Linked DNA regions of Sus scrofa. The protein of the gene in region 1 interacts with the protein of each later gene in a pairwise test. Links are inferred from orthologs where the notes say so. Each region holds a gene or a part of one and is shown on either strand. Other genes may lie near its edges. The genes, in order: DLC1 and RASA1.

Region 1 (10,302 bases):
GAGACAATAACAAGTATCTAAATAAACAGACACATATACCAAATACATGAATTAGAAGACCCAATGTAGTCATGCCTACTCTAGCCAAATTAAAATATAAATTCAGCCCTAATAAAAATCTCTCTTTTGGTAGAAATTGACCAGGTGATTCTAAATTGGGAGACATAAAGGTCCTTAAATGGCCAGGACAATTTTTAAGAAAGAAAAAGCATTATAAAAATCTTACATAATAAGTAAAATGTACAGTTGAGAAAGGAAAACAAATCTCTAAGTATGTGTGTATCAGTTTGCATGACATGTGAGCTTACTGGACAAATTGATTCAGGTTAAACATCCAATCCTCATTTTGTTCACCATTCTCCACTGAGCCTTGCCTGAATCTGAGGCTCAATCTGTTTTTATTACTTGGGAAAAACTGACAAGGTGGAAGTACCTCAAGAAACTTAAACTTGAAAAATCAGCAGGAAACATGCTTTTCTCCATTTAGGAGTTATTCCAAACATTCAGACTATGAGGGGCCCCACATTACATAATACTCAATTCTTTATGGATTTGTATTTAAGTAAGGAGACATACCTGTGAGGAGACGTACCTGCATCTCTGACAATCTCTCTCTTAATTTATAGACCCTTTCAAGTCAAGGGTTGTATAGAATTTAATGATTGAAACCTAGTAAGAAGAAGTGAATTAAAGAATTCCTAGAGGAAATTAAAACCTAAAGTAATTAAAATATCTCACAAGGCTCAGTAATCAACAGTCCTACTTAAAGACTGTATACAGTTATTCATGTTATCTGAACCCAAGAAAATTAGCTACAACTGGAGTTTATAAGGAAATTTGAAAATAACTCAACATGAAATAAATTTTGCATTTTCTGTCAATTACTAGCACAACCCTCAAGCCGTCATCTTCACTTAAATCAGAAAGTAGCACAAACATAGTTAAAATGAAGGCAAAGTGGCAACATAAAAATATACCATAGCATTCTTGGACAATATTACTTTTATTCCTAATAGAAGTTTCTTTTCATTTTTATGCCTTTCAAAACTTTAGGCAGGTAGAGAGTTCTTTTTATTAAAGTAAACTTGTTTTAACATAAGATCATAAGACTGCCACAAATAGCATCCAAAATGAAGTTCATTCTCATTAATTTTACTTTCATGTTGTGTACATATACAGTTATAATCATCAACTCAAGGTCTTTATTTGTGTATATTTGCCTATTCACGGTGTAAAATCTTTTTACTCCAAATGGAGTATTCTCATTTTTACAGGTAATATCCATTTTATAAAATCCTCATGGATATTTTCCCAGTTTGTTACATTTCATTCTTCACTTGTTCAGTACTTTCTAATAAATAGATATTCATTTATCTTGAGTCTCATCCATTTTTAAAAACGGGTCTCCATTTTCATCCAGTCTCTCAAGATAAAGCCATGTGCACTCCTCCTGAATCACAGTCTTCTCCCCTTTAATGTTATTATAGGTATGGCAGCCTCAAGCAGCTGTTATACAACACACAACTTTGCACTAGGCCTGCCTGTTTTAGTTTCAATAATCAGGTTTCTGACTAGCTCTTGAGCTCAAATTCCCATATGCTGTCTTATGCCTTAATGCATAAGTTCCTGGCTGATAAAACTATCAGTTAAATATTCTATCCATTTGATCCCATGGATGATAGAACTTTCAAATAAATGCGGGTGTTTTAGCCTGGGAGCCACATTTGTCAGACTGCTAGAGATCGGACAAACATTACTTTTCAAGCTATGTGCCCTCTTTTTGATTTCTGTCATTGCTATAAGCAATTTAATTTGTAAGGAGGAGTCCCCGTTGTGGCACAGTGGAAATGAATCCAACCAGGAACCATGAGGTTGCAGGTTCGATCCCTGGCCTCACTCAGTGGTTAAGGATCTGGTATTGCCATGAGCTGTGGTGTAGACTGCAGATACGGCTTGGATTTGGCGTTGCCGTGGCTGTGGTGTAGGCAGGTAGCAACAGCTTTGATTAGACCCCTGGCCTGGGAACCTCCATAGGCCGCGAGTGCGGCCCTGAAAAGACAAAAAAAAAAAAAAAATTTGTAGGGAAGCACTTGTTAGAATTATCAGGCTAACAATATGAAGCTAGCATATGAGATGGGAACTGGGGTAACTTGGCTAAGTGTCCAGTGAAGAGTGAGAGTTAATAGGACAAAGAAACAAGAAAAAAGAGAAAAGGAAGTAGAGGAACAAATTGGGTGTGCATTTTCTAGGAAATCTAAGAGATTCAATTTTTACTATATATAATTTCAAGTTGTAGAAACTGCATTTATATACAAGAAACAAATGTACTTTGATGATTTTGCTAGCTAAGTAACCTAGAAGTAAAATTCATAATTTGTGTTATTTTCCCTTAAGTATTTTTTGGGGGCACACTTTTTTTCAGAATTAACTTTATGTTTTTACATTTCAGATTAAAGTAATAAGACATTGAGCAGCAGTGACTGCTGACATCACAAAAAGGAAAACAACCACAAATTAAGTGCCTCCTCATGGAAGGTCACCACTCTAACTGAAGTTCCTGGCCAAGAAACTGAATCCGAATCTGAGAAATTCTCTAGTCCCAAGTACCAATCGAGAAAAAAACATGGAAGGCAGAAAAATCCATGAAACTACACCATGGTACTACAATCAGCAAGGTCTAAATTGGGAAATTCTACAGGACAAAAATTCAGGGTTTTTTTCCAACAAGGCGCAAGGAAAAAACAACTCCGGAGAATCTGTAGATCAACCTTTCCTACCCCCAACCATCAATCAATTGCCATGTGTGAGGTTTATTTGGATCCTAACTTTTTTAAATATAAAGAAACAAAGACATTTGGGAGATTATAGAATATTCATACACTTACTATATATTTGGCGTTATTAAGGATTTTTTTTTTAAACCGTGATCATGGTACTGTACTGTTTTATTTATTTTCATTTTTATTTTTTTTGTCTCTTTAGGACTGCAGATGTGGCATAGGGAAGTTCCCAGGCTAGGGGTCGAATCCTAGCTGTAGCTGCTGGCCTACACCACAGCTACAGCAATGCCAGATCCAAGCCACATCTGTGACCTACACCACAAGCTGACAGCAATGCTGGATCCTTATCCCACTGAGCAAGGTCAGGGATCAAACTTGCATCCTCATGGATAATAGATTTGTTTCCGCTGAGTCACGATGGGAACTCCATGGTACTGTACTATTTTAAAGATGAGAGCTTATTTTTTAGGGAAGCATACATATGAAATGACATGCTGTCTAAAATTACTCTAACATAACATGGGAATTAGGATAAATTGAAGGGACTGTGTATGAAATAAGAATGGTCATATGTGTTCACTGTTAATGCTTGGTCCTAGGTACCTAGAAATTCATTAACCTGCTCTGTTTTTATAAATGTTTAAAATTCATCATAGTTTTTTTTAAGTTAGGCCAAAATAAAAGAATTTTCAGATTATTGAACAAATTAAACTAAACTAAAATTAAATAAACGTTTTCAAATTTCTATTATTTCCCGATTTTGGCTATAAATTTTCCAGTTCTGTGAAGGTTTTGGATTCTCTGCCTTATTTTAAAAGTTTGTGGAGTTCCCATTGTGGCTTGGTGGTAATGAATCGACTAGTATCCATGAGTTTGTGAGTTTGATCCCAGGCCCTGCTCAGTGGGTTAAGGATCCTACGTTACTGTGAGCTGGGTGTAGGTCACAGACGTGGCTCTGATTGGGTGTTTGCTGTGGCATAGACCAGCAGCTATAGCTCTGGTTCGACCCCCTAGCCTGGGAACTTCCATATGCTATGGGTGTTGCCCTAAAAAGCAATAAATAAATAAATAAATTTCTTTACATAAGAGCATCTGTGGCCAATTTATTTGTCATCAGATCATGTCCATATGTAATGATAATGTAACCAAATTTTAAAAGATAGATATTTTTGCTAGGTTGAAAACATATTTTAAGACATCAGAAATTAAGAGTTCTTAAGGCTTTTAGGTAGCAATACCTTAGACAAAACATCTGCTAATATAATATAAAGTGAACATGATAATTTCAAGATAATGAATAAATTACATTGCTCAAAGAATAAGCAGTTTTGTTTAGTAAAATTCAAATTTTTTTCTTGCTCTGTAAATTGTAATAACTAATATTAAGAGAATGCAGATTAATACTTAACTTGCAATAATTTATTTTTATCTGTTAGAGATGCTATCAGAAAAAAGAACTTAGTTTTTCTCTTCAGGATGCTGATTTTCACTGTCACCCATTTGTATGTAAAGTTTTTAACATCATTCATTTGTTTATAAGTCTTAACAATATTAAAAAAGTAATTAATATATACAATTCAGTGACCTAGTCAGAGTGTGATTGATGAGAATCAGTAATTATTTTCTTAAACAGAAGAGAAATTGTTTAATCAACAGAGAATTAATAAGACCATAATTAAGGTTTTATAAGATTAATCTGTAGTAATATTACCTTTCTTGTAAATTATAATAAATAATGTATTCAACATTAGACAAAAAAGATGCATAGTAAATTTTAGCTATTTATGCTAAAGGGTCCTATACTCTACATCCTATTGACAATTTAAATCTCCCCAGTCTAAATGTTCAGGACCTTTGCCCTGTTAGAAAATCAACTGAGTAAATGCAAGTGATTTTAAATTAAGGAGGCAGTGCAATTACTTTAGGAAAGAAAAAATTAACTTATCCATTAGCATTATAGGTTGCTGTAAGGGAAAATCAGGCTGTCTGTTCATTCAATTAACTCTCGACCTCAAGGTAACTGATCATTTCATTTGTAACATTGTTGATTAAGCAGCTCTGAATTTTTAAAAAAGCTATGCCTTGGCAATACGTTTCTCTGGGATTACTTGGATCTATTTGGTACATTGGTTAATTATCAGAAGAAGTAAATGATTTATTTAAAAAATTTTGATCAAATCCATGAAAAAGTTTATGATAAAATAACACTATAAATTTATTTTTCTAGTCAAAATAACTTTAAACATATATGAATACTATTTCAAAATACAATGATAATCTTATATCTATACTGAAATTATTCAATAGAGTAACAGAAACAAAAACAAAAATGAAAATGTGTATCACAAATAATAGCATCTGCTTTCAACACAATAAATATTTTCACTTTGAACTTTGTAGAGGAAATCATCTTTCCAAACAACTATACAACACAGCACTGCAGTTTTCACTTACTGTTAAGAATACATACTCCCATGAGAAAGCATTTCACATTTTTAGATGAATACAATTTCAGTCAATGCCAGAAAGTGACACTAAGCATCTTGAGGTTTTCCTAGGTATATTTAGTCTTAGGCATTTTTCTCTACTAATAGAACTTCATTTATGAGTAAACTATTTTGTTTCTGTTTTCGGAAACAATTTAACATGCAAACTGCTCACACAACAATGCACACAAATTGTTATATATGGTATTAAATATAAAGGGTGAAGTAAGGCTTTTACCTGGTAATCACCTGTGTCCCTCTGTCTGAAGCTGAGTAGAACAGATCCCCCGGCAGTGTCTTCTCTGATGATCAGAGTGAGGGCAGCCGCATTTGAAGGGGTGGGACTTGTCTTCAGCAATGAATTCCCAAGGGGCTGTTTCCAATCAGAGAATGCTACAGCAGACAATGAAACCATTCTCCATTTGTTGACCCTCGTTTTGTAAGTACAATCAGCTGTGGGTGTATTCAGGCATCAGTGGAGGAACTGACATAGATTTCACTGAGGTTTATGGTATGAAGAATATTTTGAAACAAGGATTACACGAAAATAAATTTGCTCTTTCCTTTCTTTGAAGTTTTTCCACTGTGTATTCATTTCTTCTCATGTTCTCCCATTGGGGTGCAAATCACAAAAAAGCTTAACCTCAAGCAGTATAATCTCTCACCCAATGAACCTGCCAAGTCCTCTGAAACACCACTTATGAATGTATACTGTGGTCTCTGCTGTGAAAATTTCTCTGAGGGAGGGGAATGGAGGGCTCCCTGCTTTGGGAGCCCCTTTATCCAACTAGGGACAGTGTTACCTGATAGAGATCCTATATATGATGGTTGTTTATGCCTAGTATTTTCACCATCATTGTGTGCAAACTCACACATCTCATTTCTGTGTTACAAATGTTACAAATCAGATAGCTTTGTTTGATTATCCCAGAGCTGCACTTGCTGAAAGTATTTTTCATATTGGTGTAGTTCTTCTAGTTTGTTTCAACACGTTCTACACCCAATTCTGTCACTTTCTTTTAAGTATATATGTAGACTCCAACAGCTCTCACCACTTTGACCTCTACTGCCCTGGCAGAGTTGACCACGAGCTCACCTTTCTAATGGGCATGCCTTTTTCTGCACCCTGGCCTCACAGTCTAGTCTCCATAATAGCAGCCTGGCTGGTGCTTTTAAAACCTGTCAGATCATGTCATTCTCCTAATCCTCCAATAAGGTCCTACTGTAATAATTGATCCTGAAATGTTCTAGTAATGTCCAATCTAATTTACAATAAAATAAAAATGGTTGGCGATGGCCTGTGATAGCTCAGTCCCTCACCGCAGCTCTGAACTTACATGCACTTTCTCTTGCATAGCCTGTCTTGCTCCTTGAACTCTAGGTGCCCAGATCTTCCTGCCATTCTTCAAAGGTGTCAAGGGCACTCCTGCCTCAGGAATTTGGATGTGCTAAATATTCTCCTGGAGGAGTCTATCCCAGATAGATTGCTCTGCTTTCAATTTTCAGTTCAAATGTCAGTTTAACTGTGGGATCCTCCTTGACTACCTTTAGATACAGTAAGTACACTTTCATCAAGCTCTCCTTATCTGGCTTTATTTTTTTCTTCATAGAGTTTAGTTATTTATATGCTTTGTTTACTAGTTAACTCATCCAACAGAATATAAACTCCCAGAGAAAGAGGACTTTGTTTTATTTACTGATGTATCTTAGCATCCTGAAAAGGCTTTTTGGAGTAGGTATTGAATAAATATTTTTTGATGAATTGATTATTAAGCTTTGCTTTTTCTTCCCTACTTTATAGAACATTCTAACAAATAGACTCTAATGAAATAAAAGAAATATCAGTCTATTCTCTTAATGACTTATGTTACTGTGATAATTATGTGATAGTTATGATAGTGTAACTATCAAATGTATCTTAAAATCCTAGAACCTAAAAATTCCTTACCATTCATCATGATTCATCATCGTTACCACGCTGGACTGTAATATGGTCCAGAATTGAACCTATCGATAATTTTCTTGGTCTCCTTTTATACTCACTCAATTGGCTTAATTATCTCTAGTATGAGAAAATATTCTCTACATAAAAACAGATTTATTTCCACAATCTCTCAGAAGATTCTGCAACGTTCTTCATAAGCCTTATTTTCTGCCTTAAGTTATGTGATGCTTTTTATGAAACACCTAATTTACTGTATGTCTTAATTTTTATCTCTCACAATAAAAATTTATTTCCCTATTCATTTCAGCAAAATCTCTACATCTATGTTAAAAGCTAAAGACTAGAAAAAGAGGTGTCAGTTTTGTGAAACAGCATATAAGTAAAGGCAGCTTTGCTCCCATTTAAAATGAGCCTTAACTTTTGAATTCTACCTTTAGTTAGCCCCTGTGGTTATTTCTAGACGATGTGAGGGAAAATGGTGCAACCAACATACAACTCTCAATTTGTGAAAGGTCTCTTCTAACAATTTGTAAATCTTCTAAAAGTTGTGCCAGGTCATAGATCAAGATATGAGAAGTGATGTGAGAGCAAATGTGTTAGAACTCAAGGTGTATAAAATGCATAGGATTGGGGTAGTTTCAGAATGCTTGGAATGTTTAGGTGTTTTAAACCAACTATATATTTTAGTTGGTTTAAAATATAGAGCAGTGTATTTGAGGTGGTTGTAAACTTGGTAAACCAATTGGAGAGTAAACAATACTAAAGTCCTAATTGTTTTAAAACAGGTTCCAAATGTTTTTGATTACATATTACTTTTAGGATTTTAGCAGGAACTGTCTATCTACCTTTTATCTATCTATCTATCTATCTATCTATCTATCTATCTATCTATCTATCTATCTATCTACCTACCTACCTACCTATATTTTAACATACTTATTCAAAGGGGATTTAAAGGGCAGATATTCAGAATATTTGACAGTATGCTTAGCTGAGGCAATAACTAAACAAAATCAGTGTTGTCCATAACCCTTGGAGCAGGGTCCCAGAGGCTCCTTACTTTGCTAGGCACCACCCTGATATGTTGGATTACAGAGACAGTGTCCCAGTGCTGAGCTGCATAAGGGCACTTAGGGCAATTGATGCAATAGTTAAGGACCAAATGGTTGGGAAGTGTTATGATATTTAATAAGCAGTATGGATACTTAAATTCTGTAAGCTCTGCATTTTTAAACTCCGCACCCACAAAGAAAACAAATTTAAAAGATGGAGTAGAGATAAAACAAAAATTGTGGTATCTGTGCACAATTATTAGCTAACTTTTCATCAGCCACAAGAAACTCTCAGAGCAAGGTTGCTTGTTAACATTGCTGGGGAGAAATTCATATTGCAAATAAGCTTTAAAGAATTTTTGGCTGTCAGATTTTACTGTGTAAATTTGCTGATGAAAGACACACATCTCAGCTTTGCCAAGTTCATATTGCTATTTTTGTCTGTGTTCTTCTTCCTCTTCTTTTTATTATTATTATATTCAATATATAGACAGTAATTGACCACTAAGATCAGTACAGAGATTTGAGAAGAAAAAATAAAAATATGGCTATCTTCTGGAAAAAAGAGATTGATTTTTCTGCTCTAATTGGACAGTGTGCCACTCTTGAAGCATCTGTTTACATTGCTTGTGATTGTATTATGTGACGTTTGCCTGATTTGGCTACTTGACTGTTCTAGGGGGTTGATGCCAGGAGGTCTTCATTTGTAAATTTGAGAACCTCTAGACCAGATAAAGAGCTCCTCAGGAAAAAGTCATTTTATCCATTGCTGTATACCCCAATCTTCATAAATCTTAGGCTATATACATCCCTTAATGACCGTTTCTTAAACAGAATTTTGTATTTCCTAATCTGTGTTACCAGGTATAGTGAGAGATACTGGTGATAAGTACAGATGTAAATATACACTTGCCTTCTAGGTATTTACTGTCTCATTGAGAAACTGGAACAAATTTATCAAGTGATAAATTACAAAAAAATCAATTTCAGTAATGAATGAGTGATGGAGGCAACATGAACTCCAAAACAACTTCTGTCGTTTCACCATTTAAAAAGAAGAAAACCTGGGGTTCCTGTCATGGCTCACTAGATTAAGAACCCAACTAGTATCCGTGAGGATCTGGGTTCAATTTCTGGCCTTGCTCAGTGGGTTAAGGATCTGGTGTTGCTGCAAGCTTCAGAGTAGTTCGCAGATTCGCCTTGGATTTGGCGTTGCTGTGACTGTGGTGTAGGCTGGCAGCTGCAGCTCTGATTAGACCCCTAGTCTGGGAATTTCCATATACCACAAATATGGCCCTAAAAAAAAAAGAAGAAAAAGAAAACCCTAACATACTTTTAATAAGGGTTTGTCAGTCTATGGTAGTCTTCCCTTCAATTATTTTACTAAACATCAGCACAGGATTGTTTATAATGTAGACCAGAAATTATTATTCAGGCATAACAGTCATTGAAACAGTTGTGGTCTAACAGGCTACAGATAATAAATTATGGTAAAATATATGTGCAACAATTAGATGAAGGCCAAGGAATCTGGATTATATTTGAATTATTTGGTCCGTGTTATGATGAAAAGACATTTATGTTTATGCAATGGAATAATTTAATAATTTTAAAGTAGAAACTGCCAAATGTACTATTAGAATACTTTGTTATGATATTTTGGGGAAAATAAAGAAACACTGGTATTGCAAATTTGTGCATCCTTATGAACTTTCAAGCAAATGCTAAGTATTTCTCCATTAAAGGTTTACTACTGACTTCAATGGAGGTTGTTTAATTGCCAGAGATACACAAATCAGTTAAGTAAAAACCAAAACCATGAGTTTAGCCATAGGAAATTTGAGAAAAACTTAGTGCTATTTACATGCTAAAGAGGTCAAGATCAGGAGCAAAAACCTATGAAGAGCAAGATAAACTTTGCTACAAGGAGTAACTGCTGAGGAAGGGAAGTGATTCAGAAGGGTCTTTATTCTCTGGATTTGAAGACAGCTACAATTTTCATGCTGATAATGAAGAAGAAATTCATTTAGTAAGGCAGG
Region 2 (9,527 bases), on another chromosome or scaffold:
AAGATAAAATAAGATATTCTAAAAAAATCTTAATACAATTTTGAGCTTCAAATTATTAAGACAAAAATGCTTCAGATTCCTTCTGCTAATAATGTGGTCACAAATATTCTTATCCTTTCTGTGAAATAAGCCTGCAGTAACATGTAGAAGTTCATAATGGGCATATGGGTAAAAAGCAAAACCAAATTTGGTTTGGAGAATAAAATGCTAATTAACATTAGACATTAGGTGACAAGAAATCTCTACTGTGAAACCTCAAAGGGCTACTTTCTTCCTAAGTATTCAGAGTACTATTATAAATGCAGCTGTAATTTACATAGGGAGGTTCTCAGGCTAGGGGTCAAATTGAAGTTGTATGACACACCCACTGTGATGCAGGATCCAAGCCGAGTGGAGTCTGCAGCTTACACCAAAACTGGCAACACCAGATACTTAAACCACTGAGAGAGGCCAGGGATTTGAACCCACATCCTAATGGATATTAGTTGGGTTCACTGCCACTGAGCCACAATGGGAACTCCTGCAGCTATAATTTTATTTTGATTCTAAAATCCAACTTGCAGTGGTAGTGTACAGGGTCTAGCATAGGCTAAAGGCTCATAGAAAGCTGTTCATCCCAACTTGAAAAAGCCACACTGCAGACTAGAAAAACTCATCATAGGAACTGAGACACAGGTGGGGATGGGAAAAAAATGGTAGGTGTATAATCATGCCTTCTCAGGCTTCAGTTGCTTTAGAGAAAGAAAGGAAAGAAGCACAATTAAAAAAATAATAAGGTAAGCCAAAAGTAGAATAGGGTGCTTTGGAATGTTTTAAACCAAGTCTTAGATTTGGATAAGAAAAGCAGATTTAAAAGAGAAGAAAATGAAGTAAACTCACTAAAGAATATGACATTTTTTTTTTAATTTCAAAATTTATCAGAAGTTGATTACCTGAGATGATATTAAACATCCGTGGATTCAGGATGGCAGGACAGATAAGTCGAAGAAAAACAAAACCACTGAATGGGAGGGAAATGTTGGGGTTTTTTTAGATAACCACTATAATATGTATTACATTAAAATAATAAAAATTACAATACTTGTAGAACCATGAACTTTGAACTAATCTATGGAAGGCCAAATAAAGCTTTATAAAAATAATAAGCTAAAGTATTTTGCAATAAGAACATATATCTGCATCTTAAACATTCATTTTCTTCAAATTTAGAATTTTAAATTTACTTTGGGAAGACCTAAGTTATATCTGTTAGCATTTATTGTCTTGGCTAATATTTATTTACTCCAAGGTAGTACAGCCTTTTATACTTACTTTGAAGAAAGTGTTTAGAAACACTAAGGCCTTCTGGGAGTACAAATAAACCTTTTTAATAGATACATAATCCTGTAAGGTCGGAAAACTAACATTTTCTCACTTCTTTCTTTTCTTTAAACAGAACAGCTCAGTAAAGTCCATTATAAATCACACTGGTTATACAGATTTTGTGTTATTTAAAATTTAAGAATCCACTGTACTAGGGAAAAAGTGACTTCCTGATAAATGAAAATGTATACAGCAGTATGCTGAAAAGCTTTTAAAGTGATAAAAAGACATTAAGCTTTCCAAATTAAAATTTTTTCATATTCCAAAATATTAATAGCAAAAACAAAAACTAATTTAAAAGCACATGGCTTAACAATAGTTGTCATACATGATTTTACCTGCTAATCTCTCTCCTGGGAATGCAGTACAAAATAAATCTACAAGCTTACATATCTATTCCTAGTCTGCCCCTTTTAGTTACTGGTACAGTTTATGTCCTTATGTAGAAAATATTTCTCTAACTTCCTCTTCAGAAGAATCCACACTAGTAATTGACCTTTCACCTGCCCTACGTAAAAGACAAGCATTATTTTCAAGGTGACAGAATTCCTTTTAGAGATTAAAATAGTTGACAGAGTCTCTGTTCTCTGTTAGAGTGAATAACCCAACTTCTCAGCATTTAACTTTCCAACAATGCTGTTTGCTAATTTTGGGAAATCTTAGGAAATTAATGCTGCTTCTCAAATAGCATTTATTCCCAATTATACAATTAAGTCTTTAAACAGATATCTTTTAAATTACTTATGAAAAATATTACATAAAATTTGCTTGAAAACACTTGTGATACCTAAATAGGTCTTTGAATTTGAAATATAGTCTAGCAACAATGAACCGTAAGATTTCAGTGTGTGAACCTACTTTCTGTGAATTTTTAGAGGTGATTTGAAATCTAAGAGGAAAATTAGGTTTCTACACATATATTTAAAAGCTTAATCACCACCTTGGCCATAAATGCTCCCTTAAAAAATCCTATAGTATCAAACAATCCACATAGCAGAGTTTCCTGCTTTTTGCTTAACAATTATACTTGTTTGAAACTTACAGAACAGTTTTCATTTACATCACACAAAACTGTTGAAACATATGTTTATAATTCTTTTCTATTTTTCAATCACTACTAAAGGCAGGAAGTACAGAATCTCTAATTCTTAAATATTTAGGTCACATCATTATTAACCAAGAGAGATTTAATCTGTAAAAAAGAATAGAAGCTTCTTTGCAAAATTTAGGTTGGGGACAGGATTAACACACATTTTCAAAACTAATTACACGACCATCAGTAGCTGCCTAATTGTATTTTATGGTATAACATGACGGGAAGCATATATTCTTTATAATAAATTATTATTAGACTGCTGTATTCTCTGATGTTTTTGCACTGATTTCCTATCTTGAATGGGTTAAGGTGTGCTTAACAAAAGCCTGCAAGAGGGTCAAGGTTATTAGATTGGGATTTACAAAATCCACCATTAGTTCTGCCTTAGCCACTAATTTTCTGTGTAACCTGAAGCAAACAACTTACAAGCAAGCAACTCTACAGATTTGCCTCCTCACTGGCAAAGTTAAAATCGTGATAATGAAGTCTTCCTATATAAGCTACAAACTTTTATGACTTGACAAAGCAATTCCTAATTACTGTACAATGAACACACTGAAACACAGCTTCAGAACTATAGATTCTGGTTTGAGATTAGCCCCAAGTGACAGACTGTTGCAAATCAATATCTAAATGGTTCAATTATGGCTCTTCCTTCTTAACACAAATCAATCTTTTTCTCTTTCCCCCCGCCTCTGTCTTTCTATATATATCTATGTATGTATACACATCTATGCATGTATATATGTCTGTATGAAAGTTTCTACATGAAGTTAGCTACAGATTTTAGATTTTGTTGGTTTCATGACTTTTAACCTCATTCTGTAAGGTAAAAGAATCCCAAATAGTTAACTGAATATAAATTAATGTTCACGTTTTTAGAAAGTGCAAAAAGTAGCTAGCTAAGTATCATGGTAACTTAAAAAAAACAAAACAGTAAAAGTTTAGGAGCTAGCTCAATTCAGAAAATATTCAGTGGGGCTCTGACATAAAAGTAGAAGAAAAAGTCTTGAATTGCATAATATATATTGTTGGTCTTCAAATTTTCACATATCCACTTGACTATAAGTACATACTATACAATCATTTAACAAACTGACAAGCCTTACCTAACAACTCTTGTTCTCATGGTGGTATTTGTAGGCCACTTGTGCTGGACAGATTTCTGTAAACACCCATAAATATATCTCAGTGTCCTGCCAAAATAACACAGTCATCTCAATACAGAAAATAAATGAAAATAATGATCACATTGCAGCCAAAAGCTTAATTTATCAAGTACATGATATTTTTTAATGCAACTGGCCTTTTTCCCAAAACAGAACTCTGCTGCAAAACATTTGGCAAAGGATAAAACTTTTTAAAAGTTTTCATCATCAATTCATTTGGCCAATTCTTTACATTTACTTTGGAGGACATCCTACCATTTTTAGATTACTTCTGTATTAATGAAAAGCATGAAAAAGTATTGCAATGAGGATACAGAGGAACTAATGAGTACAGAGTCCAGTGAGACAGACTTTGATATAAGTTAACTTTCAACTGATTGAGTTCACTAACATTGGAAGCCATTAAGCAGATATTAATTTTCTTGTGTACATTTTGAGCAAGATATTCAACTACAGACTGAAGAAATACATCTCTTTTATAATCTCTTTGAATCTGAGACTCTAAGTCTCTATTCATTCTCCAAGTCATGAGATAAACCAGACATACTGGCCTATATAAAAACATGATTTGTTTTATTTTAATGTAAATATTTAACTTTGGTTTCTTCAAGTCACTCTTTTTCCTTGAACACAATTCATTATGTAAAGATTAAAAACTCTAACTTTTCAGAGTATAATAACATCACAATAGTAGAAAAGCTTACATGTTTTAGAAATACAAAATTTTTAAGAGGCAGGTATACTATTTCTTGTCAAATTAAAATTTCACCACTTACGGTGGAAGTATTTCTGAAGCCATGAATATTTTCTCCACAAGCTCTGAAAGTATGTTCAATAGGTGTGCTAAATTAGTGTTCACATCTTCATTTTTTTCTAACTTTGATGGACTTAACTAAGAGAAGGAATAAATCAATATAAATGCATCTTGGCAATCATAAAAATCAAGATAAACAGTCGTTTTCAAGGTTCTCCATTATTCATTCTGTATTCGTCTTGGTGGTAGAGGAATGGGGATAAATGAGAATTTTTTTTTTATTATTTTATTTTAATTGTTTTTAGGGCCACACCTGCAGCATATGGAGGTTCCCAGACTAGGGGTTGAATCGGAGCTGTAGCCACTGGCCTCCACCACAGCCACAGCCACATCAGATCTAAGCAGCGTCTGCAACCTACACCAGGGCTCACAACGCCAATCCTCAACCTGTGAGCTAGGCTAGGGATTGAACCTGCATCATCATGGATGCTAGTCAGATTAGTTTATGCTCAGCCATGACAGGAACACTGAGAATTTCAAATAGTTTGCTGTATGGAATTCTTAATGGGCTTGTTACCATTAATTCATAATTATTCCACTAAAAACTGAGTAGTATTAAACCATTTTCATTTTTTTTTTGAGGGGTTAATACCATCAATAAAGTTTTCTTTTATTCATTTACCATGTTTTACCATAGATTTTTACAGGCATACAAACTGTTTTAGACTTCAGTTTAAATGTAATATTCCCAACTAGAAGACAAAAAATCCAGTTTCAGTGGCCACATATTCACAGATACACTACAGAGCATTTAAATGGGAAGAAAGATCACCACATATCATTATAAAATCTTAATTCTATTTGAAAACTGATTAGAGAGGTTTTTCTGAATAAGATTTAAGTGACTAATAAAATACCAATGCCTCAGGCAGAATCATGAACCTTTTCCAAAATGTTCCAATAACTTTTGAAATTTAAGAATTCTGATCTGGAATCAATGGGGTAGATTTATTCACAGGAATCTAAAGTCACTAGCCTGGATTCAACATCCAGAGACTGCGGACTTGCTACATTTCTGTATTCTTTACAGTCAGGCCAACTATGGTGTTAAGTCTACATCTGACAACTTAATGCAGAATTAACATTTACTGCACCCAGTGAACATTATCAAAAGTAGTTATTTTATTAATTTTATATCAGATCTAAAAAATATACTTAATATCCTCCTCAAGAGTTCCCATTGTGGCTCAGCAGGTTAAGAACCCAAATAGTATCCATGAGGATATGAGTTTGATCCCTGGCCTCATTCAGAGTGTTAAGGATCCAGCATTGACACAAGCTACGGTGTAGTTTGCAGATATCGCTTGGATCTGACATGGCTGTGGCACAGGCCGGCAGCTGCAGCTCTGATTCCACCCCAAGCCCAGGAACTTCTATATGCTGCAGCTGTGGCCCTAAAAAGAAAAAATATATATATCCTCCTTCTATAGTTGCTCTAACTTCAAAATAAAATGACAGAATAGCCATATAAGTGAGATTTTACTCCTTATGGTAATGGTTCGTTATGAATCTTCAGTGAAGCCTTATCCTAAAAGGATGTTTTTATTTGCTTTTGAGGAGACTGTCTTGTACCTCTGACCTTCTCACCCCACCCCCCAAAAAATCTTCAAAGACAAACCTAGATGTTACTATCAAGTGCCACATACAACTTACACAATAGAAGTCTCAAACATAAATTTCAACTTATGCTAAGTATACTTTCTGAAAGTAGCATATACTTTTATCATTAGTACAGTATGAGAAATGATAAAGTACTTGCATGTATTTCTGGTGCAATTTGAGATTCTTAATCCACAAATAATGTACATCTTTTTTAAAAAGTCTGTTTTGCGTAACACTTTTCTAAATGTATTAGAAAAGGTTTAACTTCTCTGATGAATAGTTTCAGACAGGTAACATATTTTCCTTAAAGTGTAATTAGTTATAACACATTACCTATTTGAATATGCTCTTTCCTGAAATACTTACAACATTAAATACTCACCTCACAAGATTGCTTGCTTTCCATTATCTTTAAGATAGAGTCTTTCAAAGCATGATGAACAAACTGTGTAGCAGTGGCTTTCATATACTGCTCCATCAAGGTGCTTGCAAGTGTTGTGGCTCGAAATAGAGTAGTGGCTTCATCTACATAAATATATTAAAAGATTGTTTGTAAAGGATTGTATTAATGTGAACCAAATTGAAAATTAAATCAATTCATTTTTCCTCAACCAATTATCATTTAAACATGCTTATTTGCAATCAGCAATAAAGTATTGATTATACTGACATTCTATATTTCTATAAACATAATTCTTTAAAAGATCATAATTTATCCTTAATTCTTAATTAAATCTTAAATAATGAATTAAGATAAAGAATTAATTCTTGGAGTTCCCATCGTGGCTCAGAGGAATGAATCTGACTAGCACCCATGAGGACACAGGTTCAATCCCTGGCCTCAGTCAGTGGGTTAAGGATCTGGCAATTCCATGAGCTATGGTTTAGGTAGTAGATGCAGTTCGGATCCCACGTTGCTGTGGCTGTGGTGTAGGCCAGCGGCTATAGCTCTGATTTGACCCTTAGCCTGGGAACCTCTATATGCCACGGGTCCGGCCCTAAAAAGACAATAAATAAATAAATAAATAAATAAATTCTTAATCTTCATTAGATCATAAACAGGAGAGGAATTAACACTGCCATGTTCATATCACAAAACAAAGAGTTGGAGTTCCTGTTGTCGCTCAGTGGGTTAAGAATCAGACCTGTATCCATGAGGATGCAGTTTCCATCCCTGACCTTGCTCAGTGGTTTAAGGATCTGGTGTTGCCGCAAGCTGTAGAGTGGGTCACAGATGTGGCTCAGATCCTGTGTTGCCCTGGCTGTGGCTCAGGCCAGCACCTGCAGCTCCAATTTGACCCCTAGCCTAGGAACTTCCATATACTACTGCAGGTGCGGCCCTAAAAAGTTATAAAAAATAAAATCTCTAAGTTAATCTTAAAAAAAAAAGAAAAAACCAAAAACTTTTGAAAGTGATATAACTTATCATCTAGGACTAAAGAACCAAATAGTGACAAAACTTAGCGCCAGAATGTAGCTTTTTCTTTCTACTGAGCTCATGCTTTAAAAAAAATCTGAGCTAATTTCCAAGCAAGAATGCACAATAAAATCCCAGTATAAATTAACTTATTAGCCTAAGCATAGCTATTAATGACATTAGTAAAATCCTAAAAAATGCAAGTATTACCAGAAAAGACAATCTTAATGCAAAACATGTACCACCACTTTATCTTTCCTGACAAATATATATATTTTTACATTTTTTTATGACTAGGAGGAAATAGTTCTGGGTATTACAGTTTATTTGGGGAATCCAGAAGCAAGGACTATTACTGAGTCAAAGTGCTGGTTGTAAATCCCTTTTTATAACATATTTATAAGCTGTTACAAAGATCGTGTCCAGCTATACTGCCTAGAACTACCTATCATAGAAGCTAGAAATAAAATGCAGACACCTAACTTGTACAATGAATTTTTAAATGAAAAATAAACAAGAGAATATGGAAATAGCCAAACTTCTTAATAATCAAGCACTGTGAACCATTGATCTGGACATGGAAGTCACTTTCTTATAGCACCTAATACTAATTTGCCATGACAGAAACTTGTATTTGAAATACTAACAGCAGTTCCTGTGGTGGCTCAGTAGTTAACGAATCTGACTAGGAACCATGAGGTTGTGGGTTCGATCCCTGGCCTCGCTCAGTGGGTTAAGGATCTGGTGTTGCCGTGAGCTGTGGAGTACGTCACAGACGCGGCTCGTATCCCACGTCGCTGTGGCTCTGGCATAGGCCGGCAGCTACAGCTCCAATTAGACCCCTAGCCTGGAAACCTCCATATTCTGAGGGTGTAGCCCTAGAAAAGACAAAAAAGAAAAAGAAATAATAGCTGCTCCCCATTAGCCAGCATAAAGAATCAGAAATGACATTCCAACTGTAATTTTTAAAGAAGGAAAAACAGTAACTTACTTTGTAAGATAATTTAACTATTTAATATAGTCTAAGATGGAGTCTGTATATACTTGATATATATAAAACCTATTAATCCAATTTTTAAAAGTATCACAGAAACACATCCATACTATACCTTCCATGCTTATTTCTCTGTCATTTAGTGTACATAACAACAAGGATTCAAGCTTTTCATGAAGAAAAATCCTCAGTAGGATGCTAGCCAGTAGTGTTCGATCCTGTCCACATACATGTGATAAAGCATTGACTACATGAAGCTCCTTTTGCAGTATAAGCTAAAAATGACATCAGGAAAAATAATTGAAAGTAAGAGAGCATTAAGCATTCTCAGATTAACAGGAAATTATGTTTTTATACATTCTTATATTTAGGAATATGTTCTATTGAATAAATGTATTAAAAATAGAATGAGTTTGTAAGCTACATATTTATAGTCTCTTAAGACCAATAGCATACTGCTGCACGGCTTTTTAACCTTCTCTGCCTGTCAGTGTGCCATTAAACTATGAAATTACTACATTTAACTCAATGGATCTTTCATTAAAAGTATTTCTTGCTAATGCCATTAAAAACAATTAGACTAGTAAATAACTTTAATACCTCTTTAAATTCGCTGTATTCTTCTTCTGGCATGATTTTTTCCATAGAATATCGTGCTCGGACACGCAGAGATCCTGGTTCAATACCTTTTAATGGTATATGGGAGCTGAGCAAAAACCATTCATCTGTGGCATGCCCTTTCTGTAACCGGCTCAATTGGCAGCGCATAAATACTTTGATAGAAAAACATGAAATGATTACTGTCTAAAAAGATGACACCGTAATTAGTCACGCAAATTTTCCTAACATTCCATCTTCTCAATAATGTTAAATGCTTTCCGTTAAAGGGGTTTCCAATAATATGATAAATTCAGTACTTAATGTTTACTTCATTCATTTACCGAATGCCTATTATGTGCCATAGTCTCTGAGAGGCAGGGATGTGGGATACAGACTTTATTAAAACACACTCTCTGACTTATATGGAAATCAGAGTCTAGCCAAGGAGGCAAGAAATCAATTACAATGTGAGA

The links.
Region 2: the proteins of DLC1 (region 1) and RASA1 interact in binary tests that used the Homo sapiens proteins (3 or more experiments, as listed by UniProt). The link is inferred for Sus scrofa from reciprocal best matches to the Homo sapiens genes DLC1 and RASA1.

What each region holds. Positions count from the first base shown.
Region 1 is NC_010459.5:1,631,545-1,641,846, forward strand, and holds the start of DLC1 (rho GTPase-activating protein 7), read right to left. Parts: upstream 5,627-10,302; 5' UTR 5,505-5,626; intron 1-5,504. UniProt on the Homo sapiens protein: Functions as a GTPase-activating protein for the small GTPases RHOA, RHOB, RHOC and CDC42, terminating their downstream signaling.
Region 2 is NC_010444.4:94,974,133-94,983,659, reverse strand, and holds part of RASA1 (ras GTPase-activating protein 1), read right to left. Parts: intron 9,228-9,527; coding exon 9,055-9,227; intron 8,730-9,054; coding exon 8,570-8,729; intron 6,569-8,569; coding exon 6,426-6,568; intron 4,520-6,425; coding exon 4,404-4,519; intron 3,655-4,403; coding exon 3,568-3,654; intron 2,723-3,567; exon of another isoform or gene 1,001-2,722; coding exon 933-1,000; exon of another isoform or gene 1-932. UniProt on the Homo sapiens protein: Inhibitory regulator of the Ras-cyclic AMP pathway. Stimulates the GTPase of normal but not oncogenic Ras p21; this stimulation may be further increased in the presence of NCK1.